Linked DNA regions of Xenopus tropicalis. The protein of the gene in region 2 purifies or fractionates together with the protein of the main gene of each other region. This does not show direct contact. Links are inferred from orthologs where the notes say so. Each region holds a gene or a part of one and is shown on either strand. Other genes may lie near its edges.

The links. Proteins that work in one complex are often made in the same cells at the same time.
Region 1: the proteins of gpc1 (region 2) and hadhb purify together in Homo sapiens (co-immunoprecipitation; 3 studies listed by BioGRID and IntAct, counting the BioPlex papers as one, with this or other methods). This does not show direct contact. The link is inferred for Xenopus tropicalis from reciprocal best matches to the Homo sapiens genes GPC1 and HADHB.

Annotation. Positions count from the first base shown.
Region 1 is NC_030681.2:154,410,568-154,414,359, forward strand, and holds the end of hadhb (trifunctional enzyme subunit beta, mitochondrial), read left to right. Parts: intron 1-95; coding exon 96-183; intron 184-1,047; coding exon 1,048-1,122; intron 1,123-1,830; coding exon 1,831-1,995; intron 1,996-2,846; coding exon 2,847-2,882; 3' UTR 2,883-3,276; downstream 3,277-3,792. UniProt on the Homo sapiens protein: Mitochondrial trifunctional enzyme catalyzes the last three of the four reactions of the mitochondrial beta-oxidation pathway.
Region 2 is NC_030681.2:127,177,272-127,180,790, reverse strand, and holds part of gpc1 (glypican-1 precursor), read left to right. Parts: intron 1-125; coding exon 126-256; intron 257-714; coding exon 715-834; intron 835-2,746; coding exon 2,747-2,880; intron 2,881-3,492; coding exon 3,493-3,519. UniProt on the Homo sapiens protein: Cell surface proteoglycan that bears heparan sulfate. Binds, via the heparan sulfate side chains, alpha-4 (V) collagen and participates in Schwann cell myelination.

The sequences.
Region 1 (3,792 bases), about 27 Mb from region 2:
AACAAGCCAAGGCACACATACATGCTAGGCCTCATCAGCCAATGAATGAACACTGTGCTTAAACCCTATCACACTGACTGCCTTTCCCGTTCCAGCCCCACATACGCTACCCCCAAAGTACTGGAAAGGGCAGGACTGACTCTCGCTGACATTGATGCCTTTGAGTTCCATGAAGCATTTGCGGTAAGCAAGTCCATTGGTTCAAACTTGTAGCCAAAATTGGCAGATATTTAATTTGGCAACATACAGCGGTGGTCCAAATCAAGGAGATCCTTACATTTAACCCTTAGACCAGTAGTTGGATCATACTTGAACTGATCCACTGTGTGGTGCCCCCTGAGGAATGGAGTCATCTACACGCACCTCGGTCACCTTCATAATATTATTCAGGGTGGCACAAAACAGAGGGGTGGTGGTTACTGGTGGCAAACTTAGGGGGCTGTTCCTGCTGAATTGTGCTTAGTACAGGGGAATCCCTATGTGCCATAGTTTTATGGTATCTCTCTGTACAGGCTATGGGCAAACTTAGGGATTCCCCTGTACTAAGCACAATTCAGCAGGAACAGCCCCCTAAGTTTGCTCATAGCCTGTACAGAGAGATACCATAAAACTATGGCACATAGGGATTCCCCTGTACTAAGCACAATTCAGCAGGAACAGCCCCCTATGTGCCATAGTTTTATGGTATCTCTCTGTACAGGCTATGGGCAAACTTAGGGGACTATTCCTGCTGAATTGTGCTTAGTACAGGGGAATCCCTATGTGCCATAGTTTTATGGTATCTCTCTGTACAGGCTATGAGCAAACTTAGGGGGCTGTTCCTGCTGAATTGTGCTTAGTACAGGGGAATCCCTATGTGCCATAGTTTTATGGTATCTCTCTGTACAGGCTATGGGCAAACTTAGGGGGCTGTTCCTGCTGAATTGTGCTTAGTACAGGGGAATCCCTATGTGCCATAGTTTTTATGGTATCTCTCTGTACAGGCTATGAGCTATTTCTGCTGAATTTTGCTTAGTACTATATGTAACCAATCCCTTTGTCCCACAGGGCCAGATCCTGTCTAATCTGAAAGCCATGGATTCTGACTGGTTTGCACAGAATTACATGGGGCGAAAGGCAAAGGTAAGTAGTTCCATATTTGTTCCCTGTCAGTTCTGAGCTCAGTGAGATCCATCACAGAAAGTTATTTTATTTTATAATCAAAATACCCTCTTACCCTCCCCTTACTGATACCCTCTTACCCTCCCCTTACTGATGCCCTCTTACCCTCCCCTTACTGATGCCCTCTTACCCTCCCCTTACTGAGACCCACTTACCCTCCCCTTACTGAGACCCACTTACCCTCCCCTTACTGAGACCCACTTACCCTCCCCTTACTGAGACCCACTTACCCTCGCCTTACTGAGACCCACTTACCCTCCCCTTACTGAGACCCACTTACCCTCCCCTTACTGATGCCCTCTTACCCTCCCCTTACTGAGACCCACTTACCCTCCCCTTACTGAGACCCACTTACCCTCCCCTTACTGATGCCCTCTTACCCTCCCCTTACTGAGACCCACTTACCCTCCCCTTACTGAGACCCACTTACCCTCCCCTTACTGAGACCCACTTACCCTCGCCTTACTGAGACCCACTTACCCTCGCCTTACTGAGACCCACTTACCCTCCCCTTACTGAGACCCACTTACCCTCCCCTTACTGAGACCCACTTACCCTCCCCTTACTGATGCCCACTTACCCTCCCCTTACTGATGCCCTCTTACCCTCCCCTTACTGATGCCCTCTTACCCTCCCCTTACTGATACCCTCTTGGGGCATCTCTTACAGGTTGGAGCCCCTGCTCTGGACAAGTTTAACATGTGGGGGGGCTCGCTGTCGCTGGGACACCCGTTTGGAGCCACAGGTTGCCGGCTGGTCATGGCTGCTGCCCACAGGCTGAAGAAGGACGGAGGGCAATACGGCCTTGTGGCAGCGTGTGCGGCAGGGGGGCAGGTACAGTACAGCTAAAGCCATTTCCTATAGGAATCTGTGCTCTTATAAATAAGTAGATCCGGCCTTGCTGAATGGCCTTATGTAACAGAACTAGGGATGCACCGGATCCAGAAGGATTCAGATTCGCCCAGATCCATGTTCCAGGCCAAACTGAATCAAAATTCTTAAAATCACATGTCTTTTCATTACATAAAGTTAAAAAAAAGCTCTTTAAAGGGGCGGTTCACCTTTACGCTGTTAGTATGTCATAAAATTGGCTAACTCTTAGCAACTTTCCAATTGGTTCTTATTTATTTGTTATAGTTTTTTAATTATTTGCCGCCTACTTCAAACAGTTGTGGTGCCCGAGGCCGCCACCATTCGCGTCCTTCCCTGGATGTGCATTTATGCTGCCCTAGGCCCGGGCCTTTATGGCCTCCCCACAAATCTGGGCCAATCTGTGAGGCTCCAGTTTTATTGTTATTGTTACTTTTTGTAACTTTTTCTATTCAGCCCCTCCCCTATTCATATATCAGTCTCTCATCCAAACCACTCCCTGGTTGCTAAGGTACCTTGGACCCTAGCAACCAGATAGCTGAAAATAAAATAACTAAAAAACTACAAATTAAAAACAAAGACCAATTGCGAATTGTCTCAGAATATCCCTCTCTACATCATAATGAAAGTTAACCCAAAGGTGAACACCTTTGTTAGATACAACAAAGAATTTGGTTCCGTATTCGGCTGAATCTTTCAGGACGGATTCGGGGTTCAGCCGGATGCCAGTGCACCCCTAAACAAAATTGGACATTTTTATATTAATCTTCATTTTGTTGTGATCAATGTGTAACCAAACCCTCTCTGTGCTGCAGGGACACGGGATGATCGTGGAACTTTACCCCCAGTAACGTGACACAAACCCATCGGACTCGTTATGGCTGACGCCAGTTTCCTGCACTAATTAACTGAGAAGGTCCCCTCCCCGTCGCCAAGAATGTCGCAGCACTGTAAATATTTTCTAGTTGCCTTGTCTGTGATTGGAATGAGTAATTGGTTTTCCAGAGCACTTGGTACGTCCCAGTTTGGAACGACCCATTGTGCAAGCTTAGTGCTGAGCTCTCCAGCTCCTGGGCTGCTCGTCTGTTTCGATTTGGCAGAGCTGAATCCTGTTAGACTTTGTGTTTAATAGACTGTAAAGCACTTACACCCAATGTACAGTCAGTGGTAGAATCAGCTGCAGCCACTTTACCAACGGGGGCGTTGCTACCGGCCCTTCTGCCTTAATAAACAAGATCTTCACTACTTGTCTCTGTCTCATTATGAAATGGTAATCAAAGGGCAAAATGATTTTCCACCTCTTTCCCATTTCTAAATGACACTGTTACACAGCAAATAATTCCCTCTGCCATTTAACCTTTTATTCTTGAACCAACAAATGTATTTGTAGCTGTAATATTGGTGTGTAGGCGCCATCTCAGTGCCTTGTGCCTGAGTCTGAGCTTTCAGCCAGCGCTACACATTAGAACTGCTTTCAGCTAACCTATTGTTTCTCCTACTCCCATGTAACTGGAGGAGTCCCAAGCCGGACTTGGATTTCTTACTATTGAGTGCTATTCTGATACCTACTGGGAGCTGCTATCTTGCTCCCTTCCCATTGTTCTGCTGATCGGCTGCTGGGGGGGGGGGGGGATATCACTCCAACTTGCAGCGCAGCAGTAAAGTGAGACTGAAGCTTATCAGAGCACAGGTCACATGGCTGTGGCACCCTGGGAAATGAAGAATATGGCTAGCCCCATGGGAAAAACAGATTACAATGCA
Region 2 (3,519 bases):
TTTCCATGAATTCTTGGCCCTTGTGGCTGAACAGAAATATAATTAAGCCTATTGTGTGATTGCAGGACAATGCAGCCATGTTGTGGCCTCTCATCTCATTCACCTGTCCCTTTCTGTTTCTGCAGAGTCACTGCTGCTGGTGGCAGACAAGTTTAATGGGGCTTCCAATGTGGAGAATATTGTAGGTGCAATCCACACCAAGATCTCTGAGGCAATAACCCACATGCAGGAAAACAAGGAACTCCTAACAAACAAGGTACAAGTGGGTATGATGGGCAAGAAACAGGAGATATGCCAAAGTAAAATATTGATTAAGGTACCCCTGTTTCCTACTCTGCCAGGCAGGTTGGTCCGTAGCCTGGTTAGGCTGAGATGAGGCCATACATTCCTCTTTTACATCTGGGATGAGAAAGGCTTATCTAAAAAAAGCTCATAAGGCTGTTGGGGGGTGTTGAGGATTTAGACATTTTGGGTGGCAGTTAGGAGATCAATGACTAAAATATTGTTTGTCCCAGTCATCCTGCCTTGCCGCTATCACCACTCACCCACAACACTCCCTCACCCTCCCCGTTGTCAGGTACTGACCATGGCCTTCCCAAAGATTTCTGTTACTACTGGGTAACAAACTAGAGAATTATCATGATAGAGATTATATTTACACAAAAGCCATATTCACTTCTCTATGTAGCTGAACAATGAGCTCTCTCCCACCAGGTGTTTAAGATCTGCGGCACTCCAAAAAAGACCAACAAAGGTTCCAAATCTGAAGAGAGAAGACGGAAAGGAAAGGCTACTCAGGAAGATAAATCTGCTGTTGCCACAATGGACAACCTGGTTTGTGCTGAATCTCCTGCCATTTCTATTTCATGTGTTCCTACATAGTGTATATATATATATTATTCTGGGTAGAAGAGTAATAATGTGGTTCTCTTTTGGGGAGTGTCATGGTACAGTCAGGAATTTGGAATGCAATACATGTCGCATAGTGCAGCTTTTAAGTTGATGAAGTTAGGAGGGGGTCCAATCAATGGAATGGAATGGAGTGTTGACATTCAGTCCTTCTGCTGTAGAAAAGCTGCATCCATAGGGCAGAGCGAGATAGAGCAGACAAGATTAAGGCCCAGCATCCCCACAATTTCATACCTGCCCTACGTTCCTAGCAGCACAATTGCATCCCTAAGCCATACGCCTACTGTTCACACAGGAAAATCAATAAAAAAAAGATTAGCAAGAAGACATAAGGGACACTTTCCTCATGGTCCAGTAACTCTTCAGACAGCCTTCTGTCAGTCATTCAGCCAGAGGGATAATAAATTCATTGCATGGTGCTCCCTGATAACCGCAGCACGGCCCTGTCCATTTATTCTGAAATTGATTTGCTTGTACAAATATTGATACGGGGAAATCAGAGCATTGTATCCATATAATAAGTCAGAACAGCCCCTTATTATTAAGGTCTAAAATAGTAAAGTTGTTACATTAGAAATGTGGCAGCAACAGACCTTGGTTTCTAGACTCAAGGGTAAGTGTAGGGCCAGGGGAGTGAGGCAGCTGGCACTGCAGGGAAGCCATAATCCATATCCATAATCCATATTCTGTCTGCATAAGCAATCCTCATAATTGTATGGACCAAGTGTGGCTCTTACAGTTATGAAAATAAATGATGCTCATATACTGGGATTCCATAAATTCCAAATGTAGTGTGATATGTTAGATAATGTATTCAGTTGGCTATAGGAGGCCCCAGCATGCTGAAATGTCATTAATACCCCAGAAAACAATGAACAGGCAACATCCACACACAAAATGCACTTGAGGGATATTGTATGTACCATTAAGCACACAATACCGAGGGCCCCTCTCTTACAAAACTTAGTAACATGACCAAGCTTAGGAGTACAGGAGACTGCTGAATTGCCAAGCACTCCAATCTCTCCAAGAAAATCTATGTATTAAGCAGCAACAGTATTGCATTCTGGGAAGATACGCCAGCCTCTGTAACTCAGGGATCTTTCTGACCTATAAATAACAGTTGAATCAAGTGCCATTTGTAGCAGCCACTTGCCAGTCCTAGTTTTGTTGCACTTCTCAGGCCAATGAATTCCACCAGGATTTGCTACATGGTGCTCTAATCTAAATTAGAATGGGTCCAATAACAATAAAAAAAATACAAATTGTTCATTGTCATTGACATACCAGTTATTCTTATTATTCTACTGAATTACCTGCTCTGTTGTATTTATTGTGCATAAAGTTCCATTTCCTGGTGCAAAGTGCTTACTAAGTTAGACATGACCCCAACATGTTAGAGACTGTTTATTCTCTAGCACTTTTTATATTACTGTTTCTTAGACAAAAATAAATACAGTTACTTGCCTCCTCCCCTGACTGGTACCCAACTGACCCAAATTATCCCCTGCATCCTCAGCACAGCCATGGGGTACTTAGCCTCTATAGTTTGGCCACTGTTCCTACCATTGGTTGCTACTTTAGAGACTCCGGTAGTAGAACTGCTGACTGCAGTGAATAAGTTATAACTTATGTATTATAAAAAACAATATTTCCTTTGTTGTAAAATATGCAGATATTAGAAGTCACCTTAGAGCCCATAGCCTGTATTGAAGCTCTCAGCCTATGGCTTGTACCCTGCCATTGCCAAGGTTCCTCATGGTGACTTCTAATATCTATATATCTTACAGTGGAATAGTAATAACTCCCGTTCCTTATACTCTTGTTTTGTTGTTAGATTTCAGATGTGAAAGGAATACTGAGTGATATTCAAGATTACTGGGTTTCTCTACCAAGTTTATTTTGCACAGAAAAGGTGACTGCTGGCCCGGGAAATGAGGACAAGTGCTGGAATGGAATAACTAAGGGCAGGTAAGAGATCTGGGGGCTGTAACTACATTAATCTTACTTTACAATTACATTTTGTAAACCATATTTATAATAATACAGTATGTATAATGATTCAAAAAATAGAATGATGCAGCTTTTGGGTGCCCTGCAGATCACTTTGCCCATGCCTGTTCCCTGCTAAGTAAATTCCTATAGAAGGATATTGTTATTTCAGTTCATAACTGCTGCTTGGTTGCTATGGGTCACTGGGCTGGGCGAATTGCACACTCTTCAGTGTAGCTGACAAACTGGAAGTTCTTAATGGGAATTGTTAACTGTTAAGTACACTTTTTTTTATATTATTTTTTTTTACAGGTTTTTGTTTAGAAACTTTTAAACATGGGTAGGGGGTAAGGGGATGAAGGTTAGACATGGTTGAGGTATTTAAAGCAGGTCAGGTACAATACATATACACCTTAGTAGTTAGACATCAACAGGGTATTACAAGACATATCAAGAATAATCAGCATAATTACAATTCGTTAGTCTTTGCCTGCGATTCACACCAGAAAGGAGAAGAGAAGATTTCTAGCCCATTGCGAGTGTCCAGTTCTCCCAGATTTTCTTGTGATGTTTGCTTTTGCCTTATTTTAGGTATATGCCTGAACCCATGGGTAGTGG